Elephas maximus indicus: one gene and its partners. The protein of the gene in region 2 interacts with the protein of the main gene of each other region in a biochemical or structural test. Links are inferred from orthologs where the notes say so. Each region holds a gene or a part of one and is shown on either strand. Other genes may lie near its edges. The genes, in order: WBP2, NEDD4, FGFR1 and ESS2.

Region 1 (7,290 bases), on a different chromosome or scaffold from region 2:
GAGCACAGGGGCAATTACGTTGTTGTCGTTACTTGCTGTTGAGTAGATTCTGACTCATGACAACCCCGTATGTCACAGAGTAGAACTGCTCCATAGGGTTTTCTTGGCTATAATCTTAACAGAAGCAGATCACCAGGCCTTTCTTCCACGATACCATGAAAAAAGATGATTGTTACTGGAAACAGGCTCATCATCTCTCATCATCATCATACAGAGTTGCTTTGAATCAGAATTGGCTCAATGGCAATGGGTTCGGGAGACCCGGTGGTGGAGTGGCTAAGTGCTCGGCTGTTAACTGGAAGGTCCGCTGTTTACCCATCAGCTGCTCTGCAGGAGAAAGATGTGGCAGTCTGCTTCCGTAAAGATAACTGCCTTGGAAACCCTGGTGGTAGTGGTTAAGTGCTACAGCTGCTAACCACAAGGCGGGCAGTTCGAATCCACCAGCCACTCCTTGGAAACCCAATGGGGCAGTTCTGCTCTGTCCTATAGGGTCTCAATGAATTGGAATTAACTCGAGAGCAATGGGTTTGGGTTGTTTTTTTGTTTTGGTTTAGAAATAGGCAGCACCTATGAGATGCTGTGTAGGATAGAAGGCAGGAGGGGTCAGAGTTCTGAGGCCCAGGCCCAGAGAGAGGCTGTCACTGCTGACTGGGTTCAGCAGTGAACTGTCACCGAGCCCTTCAGTGTGGGTGCTGGAAACAACAGGCCCCATCCAAGGCCTGGGAGTGGCCCTAGCAAAGTGTTCACATAGCTATATGTTTTTATAAAATTTGCATAAGTCAGACATTTTAGCCGAAATCTCTTAAGCCTGCTATCTCTTTCCATTCCCACTTTCTCTTCATCGAATTTCCCCTCCTGTCAGGAGGCCTCAGTGTGGCCACAGGTATTTTGTACTCACCGTTTATTTGTTCTTTAAAGAGGGACTCTGAAATCATATAAGCTCGGGTCCCACCAAACCTAGAGCTGCCTCTGCCTCCAACCTAGTTTGGCAAAGGGGTGAGGGTGGGGCTGGACTGTTGTTCCCACCTTCCTTTTTATGATCCTTAGAGCAGACATTCTTGCAGACCCAATGCTGGGTGGATGTTCTCTTTCTTTATGAAATTTATTATTATTTAAAAATGTACATAGTAAAAAAAGCCAAAGAGTATGTAATGCAAATTGGGTCACTAAACCAAAAAAAGAAAACCCAAACCCATTGCTGTGGAGTCGATTCCGGCTCATATCGACCCTATAGAACACAGTAGAACTGCCCCATACGGTTTCCAAGAAGCAGCTGGTGGACTCGAACTCTTGACCTTTTGGCTAGCAGCTGACCTCTTAACTACTTCTCCACCAAGGCTCCAATTGGGTCACCACCCCACCCCAAACTGCCGGACCCATGTCTCATAGGGATAATACCACATTTTCTGGTGGATATTTCCAGAAATTAAATATATATTATATAAAACTAAACCAAACCCATTGCCACTGAGTCAATTCTGACTCATACTGATCCTATAGGACAGAGTAGAACTGCCCCATACGGTTTCCAAGGAGTGGCTGGTGGATTCAAACTGCCGACCTTTTGGTTAGCAGCGGGAGCTCTTACCCACTTTGCCACCAGAGCTCCATATGTACATATATACATAAAAGCCAGTCGCTGTCCAGGTGAGTCCAACTCAGGGAGACCCCATGTGTCAGAGTAGAACTGGGCTCCACAGGGTTTTCAATGGCTGATTTTTTGGAAGTAGATCACCAGGCCTTTCTTCTGAGGTGCCTATGGGTGAACTCAAACTTCCATCCTTTCAGTTAGCAGCCAAGGACATTAACCATTTACGTTAAAAAAAAAAAAAAAAAAAAGTTGCCATCGAGTCGATTCTGACTCATAATGACCCTATAGGTCAGAGTAGAGCTGCCCCATAGGGTTTCCAAGGCTGTAATCTTTACAGAAGCCGACTGTCGCATCTTTCTCCCATGGAGCAACTGGTGGGTTCAAACCACCGGCCAAATGGAATGCCTAACCTCTGTGCCAACAGGGCTCCTTACCATTTACATAGCTCCTATTTTTTATATGAATGGAAGCATATTTATGCACCATTCTTTACTTGATATACCTTAACAATTTTTCTAGGTCACCACCCAAACCAAGAAACCAAACCAAACCCAGTGCTGTCGAGTCGATTTCAACCCATAGCGACCCTATAGGACAGAGTAGAACTGCTCCATAGAGTTTCCAAGGAGCGCCTGGCGGATTCAAAGTGCCGTCCCTTTCTTTGGTTAGCAGCCATAGCACTTAACCACTACACCACCAGGGTTTCCAGGTCACTACCCAGAGTTAGACAATTCTTTTTAACCCCTGCACAAAACCCTGGTGGCCTTGTGGTTAAGTGCTAAGGCTGCTAACCAAGGAAAGGGAGGGCACTTTGAATCCGCCAGGCGCCCCTTGGAAACTCTATGGGTCAGTTCTACCCTGTCCTATAGGGTCGCTATGAGTCAGAGTCGACTCGATGGCACCGGGTTCGGTTTATAGATCACATGCACCAGAATTAATGTAACCAGTTGGGGTAGATTTCATCATGTCCATCCTTAATTAATTACAGTTGTCCTCATGGTCCAACTTGATCTTGCACAAGACTTCACAGAAGACTGTTGTCTGTTTCATGATCTTGTCTGGTGAGGTGGGTTTTCGATCCTTTATCTGGGAAATCTCACTCAAATAGCCACGCAGGTGGATCACGAGGTTGGTCATGACGTGTTGGGAAATCTGCAGTCTGCTTAAAAAAAAACTAGGCTCCCTTAAGATTAAAGATAGACCAGAACCCTCCATGAGACAGGTCCCCACGTTCCCCCTCAAAGATCCGCCTCCGGGTCGCGGGGTTTAGATAGCCAAAGCCGTGAGGCACGCCCAGTGCTGGGTCACAGGCTGAAATGAGCCAGCCCTATTTTGTAAAGGACACGGTCTGACTGCCGGTCTCTCATTCAGTTTTTCGGAGTTTATATCTTCCAGCCTGGACTCCGTAGGGCGGGGCCGGAACGCAAAGCCAGAGCATCGTTCTAGAGGCAGCAGCGCCGCCGCGAGGCCAGCCGTGGTGGAGGCGGCGGCGAGGTTGGCGCGCTCCCAGCCGAACAGTGGCTCTTGGGGGTGATCACGTCTGGGCGCCAGAGCCAGCCTCCGCTCCCCACCTACGGCCTTGGTGGGTCTGTTTGATTTGATTAAAGGGATGACGGTTTTTCTGATCCTTTCTTCTCTGCCAACCAGCCACCCCACCACTCTGAGAACAGACCCTAGCGACTACACAAGTCCGGGAACATTGTTGTTGTTAGGTGCCGTCAGTGGGTTCCGACTCATAGCGACCCTATGCACAACAGAAGGAAACGCTGCCTGGTCTTGCGCCATCCTCACAATCGTCCTTATGCTTGAGCCCATTGTTGCAGCCACTGTGTCAATCCACCTCTTTGAGGGTCTTCCTCTTTTCCGCTGACCCTGTACTTTGCCAAGCATGATGGCCTTCTCCAGAGACTGGTCCCTCCTGACAACATGGCCAAAGTATGTAAGGTGTAGTTTTCGCCAACCTTGCTTCTAAGGAGCATTCTGGTTGTACTTCTTCTAAGACAGATTTATTCCTTCTTCTGGCAGTCCGTGGTATATTCAATATACCATGCTGTAGCTCTTAACCACTAGACCTCCAGGGTTTCCATTCACTATAAGTCGGAATCGACACGATGGCAGTGGATTCTCACTGAGGGTGAGGGTGGGGAGTTCACAAGATTCAAAACCAAAAACCAAACCCCTTGCCGTAGAGTCCATTCCGACTTAAAGTGACCCTATGGGACAGAGTAAAACTGCCCCACAGGGTTTCCGAGGCTCAAATCTTTAGGAAGCGGACTGCCAAATCTTTCTCCCAAATATCCTCCCGCCGACCTATCAGTTAGCAGCCAAGCACTGTAACCACTACGCCACGAGGGCTCCTGCACACGGGTCTTCTTGTTTGTTGTTCGGTTCCCACACAGGTTTAGGGTTAGTCAATCCAGGCCTCTTATCTGGGAGACTACAAGTTCCAGAATGCATCCTTTCATTAGCATAGGGAGAGGTCGAGGTTGCCAGAGCATTACCTCCTGGGACTTGTAGTCTTCACCTAGTTTGTGACGCAGGCGGAAGTAGAAGGAACAGGGAGTAAACCATAGCACGTGACGTGAGGGATCAGGTGGTTGGCCCAGCCTCCGCTCAAGACCTATGATTGGCTGACTCTAATACGAACGACGCCACTGGGGGCGGGCCAAAGAGGGGCGCAAGCGCACTGCACTGAGAGTCTCGGGACCCGTTTCCGAGACTATGGCGCTCAACAAGAATCACTCGGAGGGTGGCGGAGTGATCGTCAACAACACCGAGAGGTGAAAACACTGCGGAAGAATCCTGGGGGGGGCTGAAGGGCGGGTGTCTATGGCGCAGCCAGTGGGCGGTGGGATGTGGGAAATAAACCCATAAGGAGGAGAAACTGATGAGGTGCGGCGGAGGGGGGGGAGGGGTAACGGCTGGGGGGAGGGCTGGAGGGAGGTGGGTGGGTCGCGGGGGTGGGGCCGGAATGTTTCGATCAGCTGCGGAGGGGACTCGGCAGGGAGGGGACGGGGTTTCAGGAGAGAGATGGACCCCAGGGGTGGGTGTTGAGCCCCTTTCCTAGAGTTGATGACTTTAATAAGAGCTGGGAAGAGCCTTAGACAAACATAATTGTCATTTATCGGTTGTTTACTACCTTGCTACGTGTCGGGCCCTGCGCCTGTTCTACCCAATTTAATACATACCATTTTGTGCGGCAGATACTATTATACACATTTTACTGGTAGGAAATCTAAAGAACAGAGAGGGTAAATAACTTGGCGAGATCATAGAGCTGTAAATAACAGAGATGGGATTCCAGGAAATGAGTCCTGACCCAAGTCAATAGGCTTAACTGCAGAGAAGCTGAGGCTCCAAATGTGAAATAGATACTGTTTGTCAAGTGTCTGACAGTTCCTGGCACGGTGCGGGTCCTTGTGAAGGTTGGTCCCTTGCCTCTTGTCACATGCTTGCCCAATTGATTCTTCTCTCCTTCAACGTGGGCATGGCTCTCTGCCCTCTAGATTTTTGGCCACTGAGAATCAGACCAGCCAGCCCTCATTTGAAACGTGCTTATCTTGGAGTCAGAAGGAGCTTAGGAACCTGAGTCACCAGAGGAGAAATGATGGAGTCAGGGCCAGCATCCAGCTCGGGACCTGTCACCTGGGAGTGCTCGATGAGTCAGAGGAGACAGTTAGGATGAACTCGGACTTCCGAATTCTGACTCCCCCTCCATCTTAACCTACCCAGATACCCCGACTGTTTCTAGTCATTTCTGTGAGCTGTGCTTTTCTATTATCAGTTCTCTTTTCCACTTATCCCGCTCCCCTCCCCAGTCAAGAATGTTATATTTGGGAGGTGGAAGGAGACAAATGGAGCCGTGTGAACTTGACCTTTTTGTTTTATAATCAGAAACCTCATACTGCTCACTGGTTTGTAGCTGTCTGTGTGCAGCCAGTTCCTGGCTCTGGGCAAACACTCTTGGGAACATCTCCTGGGGCTGTTTTTCTTTCTCTCTCAGCAGGACTTTTCTGAGACAAAAATCTATTTTGCTCGTCCTCCTACCTGGTTCAGTGCTCCATGAGTATTAAAGTAGGGTGTGCCTAGCTTTAGGAGATTCTTCGGCCTCATTTCTGGGGAAAAAAAAAAAAAAATGTATATATAATAATTGAAATTTAAAGCCAATGTTTAAAATAAACCAAACAAGTTGCCATTGAGTCAATTCTGACTCATGGTGACCCCGTATGTATCAGGGTAGAACTGGGCTCCATAGGGTTTTCAGTACTGATTTTTCAGAAGTAGATCACCAGGCATTTCTTCCACAGCTCCTCTGGGTGGACTCAAACCTACAGCCTTTGATTAGCACCTTAGCGTGTTAAGCGTTTGCATCACCCAGGGCCTCTGATGTTGAAAACAGTGAATCTTAATCTTCGTGAACCCTTTTGAGGGTAATGAGACCAAGGGGCCCTCCCAGAGCAATGAACATGCGCAGGCATTTCAAGGGCTCCCCGATCCGGTCCTGGTGGGCCCAGGTAAAGAATCTCAGGCTTAAAGGAACCCTAAAGGAAGCCTTTTTTTTAAGCTACAAAGTCACATCTTAGAATTTTTATATAGGCATAAGAAACAAATCAAGAAATGGAACAGAACACCTATCACAAAATAGAAGCATTAACCCAGATCATCCATCCTGCCTCTGGAGGGGCTTTGGCGTCTCGTGACTGCGCTGGTCACGTGAGGGCTGTGTAAGTGAGCTTTGGAGGACTTCTCCGGAACTCCACCTTGTACGTGTCGTTGACGGGTGTATTAATGGTTTCCTCCATTTATACGAGAGGGGGTGCTGGACAGCTGCTAATAGGCGACTGCTCACCTGGAAGGCCCAGTCCCAGGAGGTCCAGAACCTGTTTCCACACAGTCTCATCTCAGCCTGTCCCCTCTTGTCACAGCATCCTGATGTCCTATGACCATGTGGAACTTACATTCAGCGACATGAGAAACGTGCCTGAGGCCTTCAGAGGGACCAAGAAAGGCACTGCCTACCTGACCCCGTACCGGGTGAGTCGCATAGAGGGACAGTTGGTTTTGAGGCTCGTTGCCCTCGAAAGGGGGTGTGAGTCTCAGGTCCGCCTTGGCCTCGTGGGTCCATTGGCCTCTGAACCCTTGCTCTGTGTTTCTCAGTCACACGCTCCCAGATTCTAGACCCACTGACCTCCTTATGTAGCTGACCTGGTCTCTGGGCAACGGATCCACGCAGATTCCAAAGCTGCCACTGTGAAGTCTCTGTGTCGTTGGATGTGGCTGCTAGCATGACCCAGGCCTGGAGTAGAGAGGCTTTATTATCTCGTTTTCTGTCAGAGTAGCCGGTGGGGCTTCCATGTACACTCAGAGTGACAAATGTGCAGCCAGAACCCAGCAGCATGGCCTCGCCCTCTGGACTGGATAGAGAGCCTGGCAAACCCACAGAGTGAGAAGTGGCAGGGCATTCCTGGGGGGGTGGAGAGTTACCCACCCAGACTCTGAGAGGTTTCCGGAGGATAATGCCTATAGCTCCCCAAGGGTTAGCCTTATAGACATTGAAGGAGAGAAGCAGGGAGTGGGGTGTCACAAAACCCCGTCTTTGGGGGTTCAAGTTGGCATCTTCGCTCGCACATTCTAGCCATGGTTATAACACCCAAGGGTGTTACACCAAGCAGGGGGTGGATGGCTCTATTGCTGTTGGG
Region 2 (7,970 bases):
GTTACTTTTCCTGTTGTTACTGATACTGATGTGAATTTCTCCCTGATTTTTGGGTGAATTGTTGGTGAACTGCTTTATTGTTTGAGTTTTTTGCATGTTATCTATAAGAGGCACAGCTTTCTAGCCTGCATAGTTGTCTAGTCCTTCTTGACAGTAACTTTAGTGTGGTCTGACTGTTCATTGCTGAAATTGATATTTGTCATTTACTGATTGGTACATTAACATTTGTTGAGCATTTGTTATAAATTTAGTAGTGTCCTTTAGTTGGAAAGGAGCCTAGTGGCACAGTGGTTAAGTGCTCAGCTGCTAACCAAAAGGTCTGCAGTTCTAACCTACCAACTGCTCTGTGGGAGAAAGATGTGGCACTGTGCTTCTGTAAAGATTACAGCCTTGGAGACCCTATGAGGCAGTTTTACTCTGTCCTAGAGGGTTGCTGTGAGTCAGGCAGAATTGACTCGATGGCAGAGGGTTTGATTTTTTAGTTTTTGATGAGTTGGAAGAAAAAAAAAAGTTACTCTGATGTTAACGATTGGATGTTTCCAGATTGGTAAATATAACAAAAATTAAAAAAAAAACTTTTAAGTAAAAGCAAAAACAAAAAAAAATGCATTAATCATGATATTGTCTATCTCCACACCAAGGAGTCAGCAGCCCTGTTGTAACCCTGCGTCTGCTCTGGCATGTTAGCTTGTAACCCTGGGCAAGTCATTCAGTCCCTCTGAAAATAGTTTCTCGTGTTTAAAAATCAGGGATAACAGTATTTGCCCTGCTTATCATAAATTTATTGTTAAGTTTAAAATGAGACAGCAGCTATGAAAGCGCTCAGAAAATTATTCATGATACAAATATGAAGTGTTATTTAACATTTGTGGATACATGTGTTTATGGCTCTCTGATGCCATATTTTTGTATTAACTGAGGTTGCCTTTTAGTGTACCTACTGAGTTAGATGACTGCTATGCATTAGAAATACAGCTACTTTTCTCAAGAAGCTCACTTTACCAGCCAAAGGGAGCAAGAGACAATTAGAACAGAGTGGTGTGTGTCGTTCTGGTCCTTTGATTTGTTGCTAGTTCTAGCAGGTAATTGAAATGTGTAGGTCACTGAGATATCATAGAAACTGTGGCTATAGTTAAGCACTCGGCTGCTAACCAAAAGGTCGGCAGTTCGAATCCACCCGCTGCTCCTTGGAAATCCTGTGGAGCAGTTCTCTTCTGTCCAGTAGGGTCACTGTGAATCGGAATCGACTTGACAGCAGCGGGTTTGGTTTTTGGTTATAGCTGTTGGTGGAGTGAGACGTGATTCTCCAGCAGTGACTGGCCTGTGCACTGTGATGTCATTCTACCTTTATTCTCCTGTAGCGTTCACAGCTAAATTAGGGACACATCCTTTTCTTAGCAAATTCTCCTGGGAAATGGAAGGAGACGGCGCAGTTAGAAATCTAAGCAGAAACCATTTCTTGTCATCTGGAAAAGTTTTACAATATAACTGATATTTGCTTTTGAGAAAGAGGTGGCTTATAGACCCTCTTTTTCAGCCAGTTTAATACCGAGAACTATAAGCTGTAGTAGTGGCTTGGTGGGTCGTGGTGGTGGTGTGGACAGTGTTGGAATGTTTCAGAGTGGTATGCCTTTAAGAAGATTTTACCCACCAGTGCAAAAGTTGGTGCCTCTGTTCACCGACCTAAAGTTCTATATGCACACATCTAGCCACCAAGGATTTAGCAGACTGCTTTGTCTTGAGTGGAGATGCTGTGCTTCTCAGGTTTAATGGTCTCTAGCCTTCAAAGCTCTAGTCAGTGGTTAGGGTTACTCAGAGCCCACCCACACCATGTATGCAATCACATTGTTTTCTGTGTGTGCAAATAATAATAACCAAAATATCTCAGAATGTGGGCCATAAGCTTCCATCTAATCCTGAGACATTATCCTTTTAATTCCAGAATATGAAATTCTATAGGCCTTGCATAGGTTCCTGCTATAAGGGGCTACCTCTAAGCTTCTACTCTCTAGCTCTTTCTCACCTGAGTGAGGGCTGAGGCTTTTCTTTTGGCAACTGCTGGGCTAAAGGCCTACATTTTACCCCAGGTTCCCCAGGCTCCACATGGCAACTCCTGGGCTAAGGGCCTACATTTTACCCCAGGCTCCCTAGGCTCCACATGGCAGCTACTGGGGTAAGGGCCTACATTTTACCCCAGGTTCCTCAGGCTCCACATGGCAGCTGCTGGGGCAAGGGCCTACATTTTATCCTAGGTCCCTCAGGCTCCACATGGCAGCTGCTGGGCTAAGGGCCTACGTTTTACCCTAGGTTCACCAGGCTCCACATGGCAGCTGCTGTGATGGTTCTACAGATCCTGTACGATCCCAGACCTCAGCCCACAGTGCAGGCTGTTCAACCTCTCTAGAATTTAAACTCAGACTGGGTTTCTAGGAAATGCATGTATTTCTCTTACCTTTCCTTGGCTGGGTTCCTTTCTCCAAAATTTTCAAGCATCACTCCTTCTTATCCAGCTGCAGTGTTTTTTAATATTTCTTTACAAGTAGCAGCTGGATCAACTTAAGTTAAAAAAATAACACAAAACCTGAAAGGCAGTGTTGGGCAGTCAGAGTGACTGCATGACCGTCCATCCACTCAGCCTTCTCTCTGGTTCTTTAGTGCTGAGTCTGCCTGACATGAGCCCAAGAGGTCAGAAGAAATGTACAGTTGTGGTCCTCACATTCTGGAAGCTTTAAAATCTAGTTAGGGGACATGAAACTAATGCTTACAGCGAAGCTTACCAATGAGAAGACATTCATCTGGTCACATACATGGGTTCATAATTTTATATTAACTGTCAGGGGAGCTTTGCTTATTGACTGGACACTTTAGGCCAGAGACACGAGTGGTTAGATCTCTTTTGACTAGTCGTCTAAAAATAATCTGTTCTTTGAGTCGTTAGACCTCTAACTTAACCCAAAAAGGAAAGCTGAAGTCACTTGAAGGCAAAGTAAAAAGATTGACTGTTTCTTCTATAAAGAAAAAGGATGATAGGAGAATATTTGCAGAAGTCTGTATAATCGTAAGGGAGGCTATATGAAACCAAAATAACATGAACTTTATCGCTAACTTTGTAACTACTGTACACTTTCTAAAATATAGTACTATCTCATTCTTGTCAGAACTATAATAAATTCCCATATTTCTAGTTTGTCAAGTCTTAACTAATTAAAAACACTGTTCAGAAAATTGTGATTGAAAGCAGATTTATCGTAAGCAGTTTTTTAAAAAAAAAACAAGGTACAAGTATATGTTTTATATGTTTGCTTTTGCTTAGGAAAAAAACTTACTTAGAAAAATACAGCTTGGGTGTAGTACCATGTGGTATAAACAACGGAACTATTTTACTTTTCACTTTCCTATGAATGAGCCAGTATATATTTATTACTGGAGTTCCAACTATAAAATTCAGGTAAGGGGTTTAAATATACCCTAGAGTATTATTTAAAAATAAATTTGTTTCTTTCAAGTAGAATACCAACCTTGGTCAACGACATTTGGGGGAAAAATTAAAATATTAAACTTTTATTACCTAGTAAACTGAAAATAAATGAAAGGTTAAATAAATACAAAACAGAAAAAAAAGCATATGTACAAAAATCACAACATCTAAGAGGACAAACAGTCTACTGTTTTCCGTGGTAGGAGCTTTATCGGTAGTAGTAAGTAATTCCACCTCGAGGGCAGTGCTTGGTACTCAAAAATGTAAACAAATATGCACTTTGTTTATCTAAAGAAATATGCAGCGTGGCTTGTATTTCTTCGGCGATATCTAACAGCTAGAAGGATGGTTTCAAAGCACCAGCAGGGGCCAGCAAAGGGCTCTTCCAGTTCTTCAGAACAGAATTGGCGCTGAGATATGTTTATTTGATGTGTTAAATCTTTTTTAGACTTCTTTCTTACCACAGCCCTCTCTTAGCTGAATGAATTGCAGAGACAGTGGAATAAAATATTCTATGTGCTCCAGCTATATGGGCGTATAGTTTTTCTGCCTAATCTGCATGTATTTTTAATGGAATGTTTGCTTAGCCTATTTCTTGGCAGAGTTTTAATAGTCAAAATATAAATGGCATCGTTTAAAGACTGTGCTACTTGGCTGGAAAAGGCCTTAAGATTACAGGAGAAAATGCTTGGTGACAGTTTCTCTTAAACTTTTTTTCCCTCGGTCCCATGCTCAATGTTTGTAGTAGTATTACTATGCTAATTTTGTAGTTCTGTTCCTTACAGTTTCAGCTTTTATAACTAGCAATTGGAAGCTAAACTGTTTGTCTATTTGATTTAATGGTAAAGTTTTATTTCACCCCAAAGTTTTCGTATTTCCAAATTTTGAACTGTTTGAACTTACCATGTAAAAAAATTAACTGTATATATTCCCTTCTACATTAACTTGATCGGATTCCTAGTATGGCAACTATTTGGAAATTCAATCCTTGATTTGATACTCAATTACATGAGGTTTCATTCCTACCAACTTCCTGTAATTCTATACCTACGGGTAAAAATATTAGTGGCCAAAGTCGGCCGGAGAAAGTACAGGCACAGTGGTTCCAATCGTTAAATGTGCATTTAGTAGAGCTGGAGGGAAAACATACTGTTTCAGCTTGAAATGCTAGGAGATTGTTGTTCCTGTGTTACTCACTCATGCAAATTGGAGAAGGTATAATTGAAACAAGGTTGGCAGTGTTTGAGTCAGTGTGCTGCTGCTGAGCTGAGCTGAGCTTAAAGGTCGCTGGAAATCAAGTGCTTTGTGAGTGAAGGCGTTTTGACTACAAGCGATTCAAGACATTTTGGAAACGTCATTCTCAGGACTGGGTCGTCTTTTTCTTTCTGTGATATCTGGTATCTAGCGTTTTACTAAGGGTGAAGGCTGCTGCTTAAGACTCTTTCAGATACCACAAATGATTTTTTCTTTCGATGCAGTGCAGCTGCTTCTAGCCTGTCTACGGCCAGAGATCTTTGTTATGACTTTCAGCCCTTAACATGCTTGGAAATGAGAACAAATGGCACAAAGCTTACGATTGCACTTTGCAGCCAGAAGAAGCAATACTTACCCTTTGTCAGAAAGCTCCGGAGATGATTTGGAGAGCAATGTTCACATGTGCTTCAGGAGACCTACACGGATTTCAGCGTCTAACGTGGTTCAGATGAAGCTGACTCCCCGACAGGCTGCACTGGCTCCTTTAGTAAAGTCTCAGGAAAGATCGTCTGAAAATGTTAATAAAAAGAGCAGCTGTCTACAGATTTCACTACAGCCAGCAAGGTACAGTGGATGTCTTCAGTCTAGCAATGTCTTAACCGATGGTAATGACGCCTCCCTTACTTGTGTCTTGAAGGAAGGCATTGACAGCAATACTGTGGTTGATCATGAACTGAGTGCTGTTTGTAGTGGTAGCCTTAGTAACTTTTTAGCCAGTGATAACGGGTCTTACAGCAGCAATGGTAGTGATTATGGGTCGTGTACAAGCATCACGAGTGGAGGCTCATACACTAACAGTGTCATCAGTGACAGCAGTAGCTGTACTTTTCCACCAAGCGATGATCCTTTTTTTGGTGGAAACTTATCTTCTGAGACCACGTCCAGTAGGAGTGTGCCAGACAGGAACCCTACTCCATGTGACGTTTTCTCAAGAAGTATGAGCACAGTTCCCTTTGTCCAGGATGACCTGGACCATGGGATAGAGATTATGAAGTTGCCGGTGAGCAGGAACTCCAAAATTCCACTGAAACGTTGTTCCTCCTTAGTTGTTTTTCCTAGGAGTCCTTCAAATACCCCACCAACTTCTCCAACAAGTACAGGCACTCTTTCAAGCAAAGGATCCTATCAGACTTCACACCAGTTTATTATTTCTCCCAGTGAAATTGCGCACACTGAAGATGGTACTGCTGCTAAGGGATTTCTTTCAACGGCTGTCAATGGACTGCGGTTATCGAAAACAACTTGTGCTCCTGGAGAAGGGAGAGACATAAGGCCACTTCACAAAAAGGGCTCGTTACAAAAGAAAATGGTTATTTCAAGTAATAGTCCAAAGCAGACTGTCTGCGAAGAGTCACCCGATGGATATTCTTGTGTTTCAGTGCATTTCACCCAACAGAAAGCAACTACGTTTGATTGTGAAGCAGCAAACGGTGACTGTCAACCAGAGATGTCAGAAATGAACCGAAATTCCGATACAGAGTATACTAAGCTCACGCATAGGACATCTGCTTGTCTACAACCCAACCAAAGTACCGATTATCAAATAAATATCAGTGGACAGTTGGAAAGACCAAATTCACAGACAAACAAAAACCATGCTACTTTACAGAGGAGCATTTCACTGGGAGGAACTTATCCAAACGTTTCCTGTTTATCCAGCCTTAAGCACAGTTGTTCCAAGGGGGGACCATCTCAATTACACATAAAGTTTGCCACTGGAAATGTAGGTAAAGTTAGTGATTTATCCAGAGACGGCAACAGAGATGTCACAGATGAACCATCTCATTCTTTGAAGCATTCTCGAAAGGTACGTTTCCTTGGTCTTAGTAAATGTTAATTTATACTAGAATAACTTAAAGAAATATTTGGCTAAAATTTGCTATAACTTAACCCAGAACCCAGTGCCGTCGAGTTATAACTTAGCAGTTTTACGTAATTCCTTGGTTCTTAACTAGCAAGTATTTTGTAGTAATGAACTTTGTATTTGAAAATCTGAGGAACTCCCTAATAGTATTCCACTCCATTTGTTATTTTGCCAATGTAAAAATTATATACATTAGAAAAAAAAAAACTTTCCTAAGTGATTTAAGCCATAAACATTTCTGTAGTATTAAAATAAGCTTTGAACAATAATTTATTTCATAACATTTTGTCTTGATATGTTTTCCTTCAAGTGACATGGTATTTTCATATCTAACTTCATATTCTATCCTTACTTTAGAAAAGGATCATTTAATTTTCTCCCCTCCTTAGTCATTATGAAATAAAGTAGAATGTAAAATGCTTATTTAAAATACTAAATGATAAAAACCCACATAAAGATGTGAAGATCTTGTTATTAATGAACACAGAGGAAATGTTTCTTTAAAATGTTTGTATTTATTAGATCATTGATAAAAACTATGATGTTGCATGCTTAGCACAGAGGAAGAGTAAGTGGCGTTTGCATTTGTATATACCCTTAACCACAGGAATTTTGTTTCCACCCTATTTTTCTTTAGCCACCAGTTTAGACTGCTTTCTAAAATGTAACTCAATATTTCAACAGAATTAAATTCTAAATTTTATACTTAAAAATTTTTTTGATTGCTAGGCATTTCCCAGAATTTTCTAGTTACCTTATTAATAATTTTGTTGTTTTGATATTTTTGCTTTATTATATTAGTAATTTAACTCAATTGAATCTTAACCCAAACATTTCCTGCTACAATTTGACTTTCTGAAGTGTTTCAAACTTAAATTTTTTGAATTTCTATATTTGGAAGGTCTTGCCAGATTCTAGGACATTTAAAAAATTATGTGACTAAACCAGTTCTGGATGTCGGTATGCAAAAAGTAAGCTTATCTGTTTATTACTGTGTTTATATAACGTCCGATGTATTAAGGGTTTTAAAAACAAAACAACTGGTCAAATAGCTTTAGGTAAATAAAATACTAGGTAATTGTTAGTTTTCTGTTTTGAAATTTGGTAAATATAGTCGTTGTTGCCCAGTGCCCAGATGCCAATACAAGCAACTTATTTTACAGAGGATAAAAAGATGAGATTTCAAATTCTGATCTATGCTTTATAATTATTAATTCCATTTAGAAAACTTTTTAAAAACTAGTTTTTAGGAGATTATAAGCCATTCAGCTGTTTTCTCCCCAAAAGAAAGCAGTGAAGTGATATTATGGATAAACAGATTAATAGTTTTCTAATTGAATTACATGCTGCTGATAAATTAATTTTACACTTAAT
Region 3 (7,371 bases), on a different chromosome or scaffold from region 2:
GTTGCCTTCCAGTTGATTTCAACTCATGACGACCCCATGTGTGTCACAGTAGAACTTTCTTCCAAGGAGCCTCTGGCTGGACTTGAACCTCCAACCTTTTGGTTAGCAGCAGAGCATGTTAAGTGTTTGCACCACCCAGGGACTCCTCTCTAGTCTTGCCTTCCTCAGTTACCCAAGATGAGTTTGTAGATTTTCACATCATTTGTCATCCTTTAGGATTCAGACACCACTTCCCTGAGCCATCTCCTTTTCCACCAGGCCTCCTGACCTCTCCTCCCAGAAAACCCTGCACGTGCATCTGGGTGGCACTACCTATAACATTTGGTTTCTCCAACAAGACCTCCTTGAGATGGTGCCCTTGTCTCTTACATGTTTGGATCTATTGTGCCCAGCACAGTGCCTGACACACAACAAGTGTTCCCCCTCCCCATGCTTGGTGAGTAAATGTACCATTAGGATCAGACAAGCTGAACTGCTGCTGTTGCTGGCTCCGCTTCCCGCTCCCAGTTGGTAGGAGAGAGTGAAATGTTATTTACAAAAACACCAAGCCAAACAAGACCCTCCCTTCCCTGACATGCTGAAGCTGTGCTAGGAACAGCCAGGGGTCACCAAATGGTGGCCAGATGGTAACTGACGGCTGCTCCCTAACTCCAGGGGCCTGGGGCAAAAGCCTTTGCCGCCCACCTGCTCCCAGGGACCTGTGAATGATCCACTTCTTAGGGAAAACACAGACAGTCCCCTCCTCCTGAATCCCCTTCTGCAACCCGCTCTCAGAGCTGAGCCTGCCAGTTGCCAACCTGTCTAAGGAACCTCTAGCCTTGGGCTAGAGCAGAACCATGGCCCAACCTCGCCCAGTACAGATGTCCCTGGCCTCCCCCCACCTCCTTAGTGGTGAGGTCTTCACTCTGCAGTACCTACCCGGTGTAGTAGGGTGCTCGTCCCTGATGGGGGCTGCTGGAGCCTAATGAAATAACCAAATTCGGAGCAGGGGTGCATTGGGACAGTGGGAGTATGGCGAGAGAGGAGAACTACCTCTCGGTGGAAGAACTTCGAGGACACAAGTAGCCTGAAGAAGACGGGAGGGATTTTCTGCAAGTGTTCCCAAACAAAGAGAACTGAACAGGCTTTGGGGAGAGCTCTCTTTCCCTTGGTTTCATTCAGCACCATTCCCCTCCCGCCTCAGATCCGGGAGGCAACAGGCCCCCAACTGGTTATCAGGTCCTCGAGCATGAGGGCCTTTTGTCTCCCCCTCAGACATCTAGCTGGCAGGGCAAGGGGCCTACAAATCCTCCCTGACCCTCCCAGCTCTTTGTTATCTCAGAGGGAAGATTACATTTCTGTGTGGGGAGGCAAGGTGCCAGGAACCCTCAGTGCAGGACAGGCGGGCAGAGCTGCCGTCTGACCCGTGCTGCCTGGGGCGGTTCAAGCGGCCCTGGGGATGCTCTCCTCCACTGGCCCGGGGCCTTTCTTCCTGGGACTGAAGTGCAGGGTCTGCATTTCAGAAAGAGAAGGAGGGGAGTGGCACGGATGAGGAGCGGGACCAGAATGATAAAAGCAGTCAGCTCTCAATTATTCAGGAGCCCTGTCTGCGGTCAGTGTATCCCTCCATTAGTTTCTGGATTCTTCACCTCCATTCCTTCCAGCCGTATCTGACTGTTCCCCTAAAAACTCGGGGAGAGAGAGCTATCAAGTTGGCTACTTGCTTCATTTTGGTTTCTTGCTAAAACTGTAGAGGAATTTGTTGGGCGGCAGGCCTATGTGCCTCAACACCAATCAGACAAGACATCTAGATCATTCTGTTTAAATCCAGGACTCATTCTTCAGCCTCCTCTTTTGGGTTCAAAGCACTCCCCAAACGCTTCCAAATTAAAATGAAAGAAAAAAAAAAAAGAGCTCGATTTAAAATCTCATGAGCTTTTTTTTGTTTGTTTGTTTTAAAAGAATCATAAGGAGGAAGGATGATACTCTCTCTTTCAGGGATAAAGTGGGAAAATAGTAGTTGTGTGTTAATATTAAATTCTGGATTTTCCATGACTTATCTTCTCGATCATATTCCCTCAAATTGTATTTCCTCTTGTGCTAACCCAGATTTGTTACCCTCATCAAGTCCATCAACAACAAATATGTATAAAAAGTCTCCTGAGTACAGACTCCTAAGCTAGACTTGATACATAAAAGGGATCCTTGCTCTAGAACAGTTCAGAAGCTAGCTAGACAGAACACAGAGTAAAAAAAAAAAAAGACAACTAACAAAGGCTATTTTAAGTATCAAATGAGTGGGTTATACCGGAAGGTCAGTAGGAGTGCCAAGGATTGAATGGGGCTGGGAACGGCAAAGGAGGTGTCTCTGAGTGGAGAGGAGTGTGAGTTTGGCCTTCTTACAGATGGATGAGCATTATTTTAAAAGCCGAAGGACTAATGGGTGGACAGCTTATATGGAAAAGTAAATGTAACCTGTCCAGGAGCTGGAGGGCTGAAGGGATGAAGGGGTGAAAAACCTGTAAACAATGGCTGAAGTCCATTTATTCCACCAATAGGTGCTTTCCTGCCATTTAGTTTTTGATTTATTCATTTATTTAACAAATATGTACTGAATATTTACTCTTCGGTCAGTCAGTACACATTTATTGAGTGCCTAATTTTTTTTTTTTTTTACTATGTAGATGATGTTGTGTTGGTCACTATTCTTTCACCTGCTGGTCAAATGGAGAAATAACCTAGGGACTCATTCCTTTGTTTGGGAAGCCCAATCTCGCTCTATATCCGAACCTTTAATGACCTTGTGGATTGGGGTGGAGTGGAGGTGAGAGAACAGGCCCTGCCATTAACTTACGTAGTTATTTCTATTTGTGTTAACACTTTGGGTGCCCTGACTGTCATTATTTTATTTGATTTCGTGACAACCTTGTGAAGGAGTCCCGACAGATACCTCTGTCTCATTTTTTTCAGACAGCTGACTTGCCCAAGCTCAAATAGTTCACAAGTGGAGGACCTGAAATCAGGTCTCCTTCATACCCAATAAGGCCTACCTTCCACCCTCCCAGTGGCCCCCAACCTGGCCTCACATCACAGGCACCATGGGAGCCTCAGAAAAAAATACAGATTCCTGACTCCTTGGAGCCTCTGAGTAGGTCCAAAAATTTATATTTTTAAAAGTTCCTCAGAGAACTCATGTACATTTGGATTAGGCAACTACTAGATAATACCAAAGGAGTCCTGGTGGCAGAATTGGTTAAGCGCTCGGCTGCTAACCAAAAGGTCGACAGTTTGAACTCACCAGCAGCTCCGCAGGAGAAAGATGTGGCAGTCTGCTTCTGTAAAAGATTATAGCTTTGGAAACCCTATAGGGCGGTTCTACTCCATCCTATAGGGTCACTATGAGTTGGAAGCGACTTGAGGGCACACAGCAGATTGTATCACTCTGTTGCAGAACCCAAGGGAAAGAACGTTTTAGCCACCTTTTCTGGGGTTCCTTACAGCAATGCAGGGTGCGGCATGGGTGAGCTCTGATTAATTTCCAAAACAACACTCATTTTTTGCTTTCTAACATTCCCAGCAGGCCCAAGAATGGCGCTGTAGAGTTTACAGGGCCAACTTCCCGTGGGCCACAAAACCGAAGGGAAGTGATTGGGGAAAGTGAGATTGAAGGGAAGGCGGGGATTGACCTTCACATGAATTAAAAAAAGAAAAAGTTTTGTATTTATTGAGTGTTAACTATGTGCACATAGCTATGTCCTAGGCTCTAAACCTAAAACCAAACCCGTTGCCATCAAGTTGATTCTGACTTGGAGTGGCCCTATAGGACTGAGTAGAACTGTCCCGTAGGGTTTTCTCGGCTTTACAGAAGCACCCTGCGCGGAGCGGCTGGTGGGTTCCAAGCGCCGACCTTTCAGTTAGCAACTGAGCGCGTAACCACTGTATCACCAGGATTCCTAGCTCAAAACCTACATCTCATTTAATGCTCAGCTCTATATGTAAAGTACTGTTATTATTTCCCCTTTTACAGATGGGAAAATCGAGAGTTAGAGTGAGTAAATCATTTCCCCAAGTCACACATTCAGACTCCAAAACCTATGCTGTCAGGGACAACTTCAGGGTTATCCCGTCAAACCACCTCACTCCCCAAACTGCCAGTCTGCCCATGGCCTGAAATACGGGCGCCTTACTCCCCATGCTCGGCTGGAAGGGCGCGGGCGCCAAAGGAGACCAGACTTCAGAAAAGGAAGGCAGGAGTGCCGGCCAGCTCAGTCCCGCTGCCCCCTTCTCCGGGGCTGCGGCTGAGAACTACAAGGCCCAGCAGGCAGCTGCAGGGGGCGGAGGAGGAGGTGGGACTAGCGGGGTGTGGGAGTGTGAGAGCCCTCGCGCCTCGCCGGCGCACAGCGCTCGGAGCGCTCCTGCGGGCACTGGTGCGGAGGGCTCGGCAGCCGGCGGCGGCGAGCAAGAGTGGGAGCCCCGGTCCAGCCGCAGCGCCGGAGGAACCCGGGCCGTGCCCGGAGCGGGGCGGCAACGTCCGGACAGCACCGAGACTCTGCTTAGCGCATTGCGGCGACCTCGCCTACCCCAGCGGCGAGCTCGCGCCGCAGCTGGAAAAGCAGCCGAGACCGAGGACTTTTCTCCGGTCCGAGGGGGCGCTCCGCAGGTCGCACCGTACCAGTGCTGCAGTCGGGCACGCCGCGGCCCCCGCAGGGCGATGGAGCCCGGGCTGCAAGAAGCGTGAGCCACCGCCGCCCGGTTCGGCGGAGGGGGGGCGTAGGGTCTGGAGACCCCGGGCGGCGGACAGGAGCCCTCCCCCCTCCCCGCCTCCGGGGCACCAGCTTCGGCTCCATTGTTCCCGCCCGGGCTGGAGGCGCCGAGCACCGAGCGCCACCGGGAGCCAAGCGCCGGCCGCGGGTTTCTTGCGGCCCGGCGAGAATCCGAGCGGTGCCCGGGGGCGGCGGGCCGGAGCGGGGGACGCCGGCACCCGCCCGCCCGCACAAGCCACGGCAGACTCTCCAGAGGCGGAACCGCAGCGCCGAGTGAGGTAAGAGCCACGGCGCCCCCAGATCCGGGGCGGGCTCGGCGTCCCGAGCGGCCCCCGGCGCTGGAGCTTGCTGGCTGCGCGCTTCCCCCCACTGTAGCCCAGTCGGGTCCGGCGCCTCCCTCCACTCGTTACCCGCCCCCCCACCTCTGGGCTCTGCGCCCCTCTTTTGTCTCCCCCTCCGCCCGCGTCGCCTTCTGCGCCCCCTCCCCGCGCTGGTCCCGCCGCTCCTCCTGCTGCTCAACTTTTCCGCCAACTTGTGCTTTGGAACTGGCGAGGCGGCGGCGGCGGCGCGGCGGTGAGTCCGGAGAGGGCCAGGGCCAGGGCCGAGGCTGCGGCGGCCCTGGGGCTGCTCGACCCGGGAGGAGGGCGGGAGTGGGCAGCGAGGTGGGGTGTGTGTGTGTGTGTGCGTGAGTGTGTGTGCGTGCGTTGCATTCCACTCCATCTCATTTTGGTCCCTTCCTGGTGACTCACCCCAATCCAGCAGGTAGCCTTGGACTGAACGCTAAAAATCTGTGCTATTTCTAAGTCCTTTTCTTCCTCCGGGAAAGCCTGGGGTCGGAGTTGGGGGTGGGTGGGTAAGGCCTTGAAGAGGGAAGGAAGGGGAGGGGGCAGGATCGCTTCTCTTCGAATAGGTTTTAAGGAGGTGTCGTCACCAAATGGCTGAATCTGCTTTAGCGAAGGGCGAGGAAGGAATTCCTCTTTCCAGAGGAGGTTATCTTCTACTTAGTTTGGGGAAGGGGAGCGCACCCAGCGGGTGATGTTACATCCCATATGGGGGGAAGAGGGGAACGTTTACTTCCTATCTAGTTCTTGGAGGTGGGGGAAGGGATGAGGGTTTTCTCTTGTGAGGTTCACTCTGTAGCGATGCCTGTGACTTTTCTGGCCCAGACCCCTCTGCTCCCCGCTGCCCCCTCACGTTATGTTTGGGGTGGGGAGAAGGGGGGCTAGAACCCTTTTTTGCAGAGGAATTTATTGACGTTTTAGGTGGGGCTCATACAACACACCATGAGAAGGCAGCCAGGCACCTCTTTTTGGGGTGATGGGGTGGAGTGGGAGGGAAACCGGCATGTCCTTTCTGGGCCCAGAGCTATTAGCCCTTTAAAAACAAAACAAAACAAAACAAAAAACAGTTCTGCGGTGTCTTTCTCCCGCAACACTTTTTTTTTTTTTCCTTTTTCCGTTTTCCAGATGTAGCAGCCGCATCTGGTTCCGTTTCACCCCACACGGGTACACCGAAGCCACATTATTACCATCCTTCTTCCTCCCCTCCCCCAAATGAAAATTAGGACTCTTCAACACGTTCTTGCCACCTCCGCCCTTAAAATTTCTAGAGACTTGAGGATGAGGTGGGATTCGGGGAGAAAAGAAAGTTGTCTTGGATCCCACGTTCTTTAGTTTCAGCCGTTGGTGATGGTTGGGATGCTTTCTAGATTGTGTAGAAAAAAGAGACGTCGTGGGAGATGGGGCCAAGGTTTTGGGGGGTGGCACTTACGAATGGTTCATCTGCCAGAGAAGGCCTCTTTGGCCGTGGGTCTGACCCAAGATTGGCCCTGATGGAAGTTTCTGGAACCAAAGCATTGCTGTCTGCTTCCTTCAGTTATCGCTGGAGCTGCGAAACTGTCTGCCCCTGTCCGGAGCCCGCGGTCCCTCCGAGAAGCCGGTCTGGGGCTGCCCCAGCGATGGCAGTCACACGTCCCTTTTGCACTCAGTGTCCAGTGGCCGAGGGTGGGGGCGTGCGAAGGCGGTGGGACTGCTGCTGCCAGAGGCGCTCCCTGTGTGTTTTCAAGGAGTTATTTGGGCTGCAGCCCCCGGAAACGAAAGTGGGGCACTTGACCATTTAAATAAATAACGGCTACGGCTACAGGCTACAGGTTTGAAAGCCGGGGTTGGATTGTTGAGTTGTCCTTTTGTAATAGCCTTTGAGGCAGGAAAGCACCTTCTGGTCCAAACTTGAGAGAAGGTGGGAAGAATTGGTCTCTCTCGCCCTCTCCCTTGCAGTCTCTTTCAAATTGAAAACACTTCTCTGGTTTCCTTCTTTGGGCGGTAGTTTTGGAGGCTGTAATGAAATCGCACTTTCTCTAGACATGGTAATTAAGGTGACTGTTTCCCTCCCAGATGTGCTATGCCCTGTGCACCTCCGGACCCGTGCTTTTTTTGGAATACTGTTTAAATTGTAGAACCTTAGCCTTGAGAAGGTTTAGCAGAAAGTAGCCATTTCCCCCCCTGGGCCAATATCCCAGTTTCCTCTCTGAGGCTAGTTTAAAAGCTAAGTAGCAGGGTCCCGTGGGATGTGCCTGGGTCTAGCTAATTACCCCCAAGCCTGGGTCATCTCTCTTCCTTTCAGTGACCAG
Region 4 (7,106 bases), on a different chromosome or scaffold from region 2:
GAGGAGGGCATGCTCAGCCCCTAGTGCCCTCTCCTTCCCCAGTGAAGGGGAGGGCTGGCAGGGGAGCAGGTCCCATGGAGGAAGGGAGCATGCAGGCCAGACTCCCCAAAGCCCCTCAGGAAGTGCTAACCCCACACCAGAAAAGGAACCACCTCTTATGAACACGGGGACCCAGAGTCTTCTCCACTGGAGTCTCCTTCCCCACTTGAGGACATTCTGCCATTCTGCCTCTCTTCTCTCTTCCAGTATGGACATACAGTCCTACTTGGTCACAGCTGACCTGGCGTACTACCTCGCCCCCCACCTGGATAGGTGCTGTGGGGGGTGGGGGAATCTGTGCACATCCTAGTGTGTCAGGACCTATAGAATAGGAAGATTGGATGATGTAATCCCCAGAAGCCCCCTCCCCTGCTCCTTAGTCCTGTGAGTCTCATGTTGATACTGAGAAATAAAACAAGCAATTAGACTGCAAAAGCAGTCCAGAGTATGAAGTTCACTGTGTGGCTCCCCTTCAGAGCCCAGCTGGGGCCCTGCCCCTCCTCCTTCCTTTTCAGGGATTTGAAGCCTTGTATGTCTTTGGGAGGGAGCACAGTTGAGGGAGCCCTCAGGTGGAGTGAGCCTGCACAGTCCCTGTGCCAAGCTTTCCCCCAGCAGAGCAAATTGCCCCCTGGATCATAGCCTGGCACCCTGGGGTCAATGCTGGCCACTAGGTGCTGTTAACCCACTTCATGGGTGGCGGGTTCCTTGGTTTCCTCCTCTCTGGAGGGTTTCCATGCTGTGGTGTTGGCCTCTCACAGGGCAATCAATCTCTGCCATCCTAGGGTAGGGAGGTTGGCCTGGGAAGACCCCCGCTGCTCTGGAAAATGCTTACCCTTCCCTCCATCATCCTGGCCCCAGGGTGAAGTATAGCATGAAAACATAGTTTCTGTTCTCCAAGTGGGACCATACAGTGGGTCCAGGGAACCCAGCACCCCCTTCATCTGACTTGGGAAACTTATTTTGTCTCTCTGTAGTTACTGGTGGGAATTGGGGGAGGTGTCTCTGGCAGGGGAGCCCCTGGGTGGTATAAAAGGTTAATGCATCAGCTGGCTGGAGGCTCAAGTCCACCCAGAGGCACCTCAGAAAAAAGGCCTGGTGATGTACATCTGAAAAATCAGCCACTGAAAACCCTGTGGAGCACAATTCTACTCTGACACACATGAAGTCACCATGACTCAGGATCAACACGATGGCAGCTGGTACTGAGTATCTGGCAGGAGACAAAGTCCAGCTATAAAACATGCAGAAATCAGGGCTTTAGCTCCTGGGACACTCCAACGCATGGTGTCCCTCAGCCCAGACTGCCCTAGTATGCTGGTAGAGCAGCTTTGTGACAGCCAGAAGCCTCAGGCAGAGGCAGAGGTTAGCTTCTGGCTGTCACAAAGCTGCTCTTCTCCCTGAACCCTGGCCTCGCCCTTGGAGACTGCACTTGTAGATCTAAGGACATGACCATATCCTGGCCAGCATCCCTGAAGACTGGGACACCCCCCCTCTCACTGGGTTCCAGGCCCCTTGTCTCCTTTGGCTGAGTGGATATTTGTTATTATGCAGGGCAGCCATGAGTCAGAACTAGCCCGAGCTCCGCCTTCCAGGGACCAGTGGCTATGCCACTCTCCTGGCATTTCTCCTTCCTCTCTAGCTGCTCACCTGGCCATTTACATAGGCATTCTCAAGACTCAGTCCCAATCATTCCCCTCCCATCTCCATTCTTTCCCTGGCTTTTCTCTTCCACCCTCAGGATCTGGTTTTCTTCTCTCTGCCACATTTACATGTCAGTCCCAGGCCTCTCCCCTGACTGTTCCCTTGACTACTCCACCTGAAAGCCCACAGGCTCCTCAGCCACTTTGTCCACAGTGAACTCTTCCCAGGTTCAAACCAAGCACATGAGCCAGGGGGCTGATAATCACCCTGACTCCTCCCTCTTCCTCACTCACCATACCCAGGCCAACAGCAAGTTGATTTTACCTGCACAGCCCCACCCCTCAATGTGTCTTCTCTCCAGCTTCTGCTGCACCATCCTGAACCACCATTTCTCACCTTGACTATTGCAGTTGCCTCCAGGCTTGTCTACTTGCACCCACTCTGTCTCCTCTAATTCATTCTCCATAAAATCCAAGTGCAAATCTGAACCTACCTTTCCCCTGCCTGCAGCACTCCAAGGGCTTCTCATTGCTCCCAGAATAAGTTAAAACTCACCATGGCCCATGAGGCCTTGTGTGGCTTGGGTTCTGCACCTCTGGTGTCATCTCATACCTTACTCCTCCTTGTACTCCAAAGGTCAGCTTTGGAACTTGCCTTGCTCCCTCCCACCACTGGGCCTTTGCACATGCTCTTTCCTTTTTCCCTGATCAATGCCTGTTCATCCTTTGGCTCTGCAATCACTTTCTGCTCAGGGAAACTTCCTCTGACTTACCCCACTGGGTCAGATTCTCCAAATACAAGCTCTTTTCTTGCACTTGTCACAGCTGCACTTTTATGCTTGTTTGTGGGATGATCTAACTAGTGTCTGTCTTCCCCACTGGACTGTCATCAATATGAGGGCAGGAACTATCACCACGGAGTCCCCAGGGAATGAAAGGTTGACTGCATACTATAAAAGTAAAGTTATACTAAATTTGTTTGGGTAGAACTTATTTGATGTGTTTCTCCTTTTGGAAAGAAATTATTCCTGAAAAATGCTTAAGACAACTTTTGGTCCACTTTAGTGAGAATTAGTCCTCTTCTGGGAAGCCCACTCTGCTGATTGTCATTCAGGGACCTAATGATCTTTAACTAGACATTTCTTTTTTTTTCTTTTTGAATTTTTAAAAATTGTGTTTTAAGTGAAAGTTTACAGTTCAAGTTAGTTTCTCATACAAAAATTTATACACACATTGTTATGTGACCCTGGTTGCTCTCTCTATAATGTGACAGCACACTCCTCCTTTTCACCCTGGATTTCGTGTGTCCATTCAACCAGCTCCTGTCCCTTTCTGCCTTCTCATCTAGCCTCTGGACAGGAGCTGCCCATTTAGTCTCAGTTCTTACTTGAACTAAGGAGCACACTCTTCACAATTATCATTTTATGTCTTATAGTCTAGGCTAATCTTTATCTGATGAGTTGGCTTCAGGAATGGTTTAGTTCTGGGTTAACAGAGAGTCCAGGGGCCATGTCTTCTGGGGTTCCTTCAGTCTCAGTCAGACCATTAGGTCTGGTCTTTTTTACTAGAATTTTCATTCGGCACCCCACTTTTATCCTGCTCTGTCAGGGACTCTCTGTTGTGTTCCTTATCAGGGCAGTCATTGGTGGTTGCCAGGCACCATCTAGTTCTTGTCCCAGGCTGATAGAGTCTGTGGTTTATATGGCCCTTCTGTCTCTTGGACTCAAATTTTCCTTTTGTCTTTGGTGTTCTTCATTCTCCTTTGCTCCAGGTGGGTTGGGACCAATTGATGCATCTTAGACAGCCACTCGCAGGCTTTTAAGACCCCAGATGCCACTCACCAGAACATTTTCTTAAAAAACTTTGTTATACCAATTGACCTGGATGTCCCCTGAAACCATGGTCCCCAGGCCCCCACCCCTACTACTCTGTCTCTCAAAGTGTTTGGTTGTATTCCAGAAACTTCTTAGCTTTTGCTTTAGTCCAGTTGTGCTGACTTCCCCTGTATTGTGTGTTGTAACCAGACATTTGTTTATTGAGCCACCATGCTTTTTTTGTCGTTAGATAACTATCAGAAAATAATTGATTTTTTTCTTGCATAAAGTTTGAATTTAAACTTTGAAACGCGTATATAACCAAAGTTTCTGAAGAGCAATTTTCGTTAACAATATAGATGGCACACGTAGTGATTAACTTTTCACCATTAAAGTGAACACACGCCGCCGCAACCGAGGTCCTCAGCATCCATAGCCCAGCCACGCTGACGAACGTAGGGCAGGACGGAGGCTGCAATTGCCTTCAGGCTCAGCGCTCGTAGTGACGTCACATCGCAGCGCAGGCCGGCCTTCGACGCACGCAGCTCCCCGGTTGGCTGGCTGTGTAAAGCGCCTGCGCAGTTGGTGCAATTCTGATGACGTTCCCCTCCGCCCTGTGACGCTTCTGCGCCGTCGGAACAGTGTTGGGATAGCAATGGAGATGCCGGGAGCTTCGGCCCGGGTCCTGGTGCTCCCCAATGCGCCGGGGTCCGGGAGGAAGCGCACTGCGAGGGCAGCGGGGGCTGCAACGAGCAAGCAGCAGATCCTGGACGAGGAAGAGTACATCGAGGTACGATCTTGGTGCGGAGGCCGGCCCCTCCCCGCTTTTTGGTCATTTCTTGTCTCTTGAGTTGCTCCTTTGGGGTCGTGGCGCGCCCCTTGTCGCTTTGCAGAGTTGGAGCAGCCCGAGTCCTTGCCCTTGGGGTGTGGAGTGTCCCGAGGGGCAGGCAAACAGTGCAGAGGGAGGTGTCTTTGAGGGGCGAGGTATTAGTAGTGTTATCAGGGGAAGGAGGCGGCAGCGGCTCCGTCTGTATGTGGTGGGGGTCAGGGAAGGGAAGTTTTCTGTCAAAGAATGAGTAGAAGTCTGGCAGAGCGGAAGGATGGTGGCGAAGAGGGCGATGACAGCAAGTGCAAAGACTAGGTGCTGGAAACAGGCTGCGGTTGTGGCGGCATCATTGAGTGCGGAGACCTTGGTGGACCCTTGAAGTGGGTGTTGGTAACTTGAAGTCGGTGTTGGTCCTACTGTAAACATGTAGAAGGAATTGGCAGGGGGATTGGAGGAAGTTATTTCGCTTTTAGACTGGTAAAATTTGGGATGCTTCTGGGATATTCGGAGCTCTGGTGGCGCAGTGGTTAAGAGCTTGCTGCTAACCCAAAGGCCAGCAGTTAGAATCCACGAGCCGCTCCTTGGAAACCCTGTGGGACAGTATTGCTCTGTCCTGTAGTGTTGCTGAGTCAAAATCGACTCAATGGCAAGGGATTTGGTTTGGTTTTGGTCGGGGATATACAGGTAGGTGTTATCTGTGAACAGCTGGGTGCACAGGTGTGGAGCTTAGGAGCAAGTTCTCAGACAAGCGTTGTCTCAACTGGTGGTAGTGGTGGTGTAGGCCATGGGATGACTGGTTGAAGTCACCCAGGGAAAAAAGAGTTTAGATTGGAAACAGGAAGTGGTGGCAACACTCACATTAGTGGCAGTGGAGGTGACAACACTCACATTGGTCCTGCTGGTACTGTGGTGGAGCCAGCAAAGGAGAATGAGAACAACCAATGAAGGGAAGAGCGAAGGGTTTTGTGGAAATCGAAGGAGAGTTTAGTAGTGTTAGATGTTGCAGGTATGCCACACAGGATGTTCTTCCCTGATAGAAAGTGCCCCCAAGCTCTGGGAATTGGTTGGTTGCTGGTCATTGGGGCAAGCAAAGGTTGGAGAGACTCAGCAACAGTGGACTTAGAGGTGGGGGTGCCCAGATGGCGACTGTGACTTCTGTTCTGATCTCTCCTGACAGGGCCTCCAGACAGTCATCCAGCGGGACTTTTTTCCTGATGTGGAGAAGCTACAAGCACAGAAGGAGTACCTGGAGGCCGAGGAGAATGGAGACTTGGAGCGAATGCGCCAGATCGCCATTAAGTTTGGCTCTGCCCTGGGCAAGATGTCCCGAGAGCCCCCGCCCCCCTGTAAGGACTCTGCGGGTGGCAGAGATGAGAAAGCCAGCTGAACTGTTGCCTCAGGCTCGCTCTAATCTCCATCCCCTCTCATCTCCTAGATGTGACTCCAGCCACTTTTGAAACCCCTGAGGTGTACACAGGCCCTGGCATGGTGGGCAGCAAGCCCCAGCCCCGGGGCCGAGGACCAGAGGATGGTGAGTGAATGCCCTCCTTCAGTCCCACAGTTAGGATTGCCCAAGATTCTCATCCTATGAAGTCCTGAGGTGGTCTAAGAGGGCTGTAGATTACTTCTTGTCCCCCAGGGGTCTAAGAGCACTGGTCTAGGAGACGGAAAGATCTAGGTCCCTCTCCCAGACATGGGGCAGTTCTTTGAGCCTCTGGCCCTCCTCTCTAGAATGGGAATAATGCCACCTCCTCCAGACTGCTCATTGTGTGCCAGGCACTGCCCAGGCACTTCATGGACCTCAGAGTGCTCCTCTCCTGGCTGTTTCCATAAGACCCCTCAGAGCCTTTGCAGATAACTGTACAGCTTGTTCCTTCCCTTCCTTCAGGCCTCTGCTCATATGTTACCCTTTCAAGGAAACCTTTCCTGAGCTCCTAATGAAAAGTAGCAACACTCCTGGCACTTTGTGCCTTCCCACATGGCTTTACTTTTCTCACTGTAGGGCCTAACATTAAAAAAAAAAAAAAAAATCGTATTTGTTTATTGTCTCTCCTTACCTAGCATTCTCTCCGTGAGAACAGGGACTTTGTTTTGCTTCCATCTGTATCGTTAGCATCTAGAACAGTGCATGGTATGTTGTAGGCATTTGGCAAATATGTGTAATTTGAACAAATGAACAAGTTGTCTCCCATGTGTTTACTGGGGTGTAAGGCATTCAGGTATATACGTTCCATTCAAATTTCACAAGGAAGTTTCTTAGGGTAGAGCATTTTGAGTACTGTTCAATATGAGTGTATTGGAAGGGGCAAACTTCTTGGGGTTGAAAGCCTGTGACTGGGACTTTCTCATATTCAGGTTATCTCCTTGTCATTAGTAGAATGTCATTGCATGCACAGTTGGACAGACGTTATTTTCTACTAGGTTGTAGCTACGGTATGCTGTGCTAACATGGATGCTGTGTGTGTCCACAGAGATGTGATGTCTTCTGCTTCAAAACCCAGCTCTTCTCACATTAGCACATTCCATCGTGTTGTGTTCTCAGAGCTTGATTCTCCAGGTGAAATTTGACACATGAATCACCTTATCTGCCGTAAATACAGGAATTCTTCCAACAACTTAAGTCGTAGGTACCATTGTCATTCACATCCACCGATGAGGAAACTGAGACTCAGGGAGTGAAAAAATGGTGTGGTAGCATCTGACTTCCTTTAACTTCACAAGGCGGGAGGAGAATCAAGATCATCAGCACAAGCCTGATCACTGTGAGGTAGAGGTCAAACATACCTT

Evidence for each region.
Region 1: of the proteins of NEDD4 (region 2) and WBP2, one has a biochemical effect on the other in vitro, tested with the Homo sapiens proteins (6 studies listed by BioGRID, with this or other methods). The link is inferred for Elephas maximus indicus from reciprocal best matches to the Homo sapiens genes NEDD4 and WBP2.
Region 3: the proteins of NEDD4 (region 2) and FGFR1 form a complex in vitro, tested with the Homo sapiens proteins (2 studies listed by BioGRID and IntAct, with this or other methods). The link is inferred for Elephas maximus indicus from reciprocal best matches to the Homo sapiens genes NEDD4 and FGFR1.
Region 4: the proteins of NEDD4 (region 2) and ESS2 interact in a test that uses a peptide from one of them, tested with the Homo sapiens proteins (2 studies listed by BioGRID and IntAct, with this or other methods). The link is inferred for Elephas maximus indicus from reciprocal best matches to the Homo sapiens genes NEDD4 and ESS2.

What each region holds. Positions count from the first base shown.
Region 1 is NC_064837.1:66,099,840-66,107,129, reverse strand, and holds the start of WBP2 (WW domain-binding protein 2), read left to right. Parts: upstream 1-4,281; 5' UTR 4,282-4,312; coding exon of another isoform or gene 4,313-4,371; intron 4,372-6,187; 5' UTR 6,188-6,208; coding exon 6,209-6,315; intron 6,316-6,516; coding exon 6,517-6,625; intron 6,626-7,290. UniProt on the Homo sapiens protein: Acts as a transcriptional coactivator of estrogen and progesterone receptors (ESR1 and PGR) upon hormone activation. In presence of estrogen, binds to ESR1-responsive promoters. Synergizes with YAP1 to enhance PGR activity.
Region 2 is NC_064831.1:46,258,118-46,266,087, reverse strand, and holds the start of NEDD4 (E3 ubiquitin-protein ligase NEDD4), read left to right. Parts: upstream 1-4,958; 5' UTR 4,959-5,036; coding exon 5,037-6,539; intron 6,540-7,970. UniProt on the Homo sapiens protein: E3 ubiquitin-protein ligase which accepts ubiquitin from an E2 ubiquitin-conjugating enzyme in the form of a thioester and then directly transfers the ubiquitin to targeted substrates. Specifically ubiquitinates 'Lys-63' in target proteins.
Region 3 is NC_064840.1:62,287,212-62,294,582, forward strand, and holds the start of FGFR1 (fibroblast growth factor receptor 1), read left to right. Parts: upstream 1-4,363; 5' UTR 4,364-5,020; intron 5,021-5,027; exon of another isoform or gene 5,028-5,315; intron 5,316-7,371. UniProt on the Homo sapiens protein: Tyrosine-protein kinase that acts as a cell-surface receptor for fibroblast growth factors and plays an essential role in the regulation of embryonic development, cell proliferation, differentiation and migration.
Region 4 is NC_064840.1:34,786,534-34,793,639, forward strand, and holds the start of ESS2 (splicing factor ESS-2 homolog), read left to right. Parts: upstream 1-4,099; 5' UTR 4,100-4,148; coding exon 4,149-4,283; intron 4,284-5,496; coding exon 5,497-5,665; intron 5,666-5,754; coding exon 5,755-5,850; intron 5,851-7,106. UniProt on the Homo sapiens protein: May be involved in pre-mRNA splicing.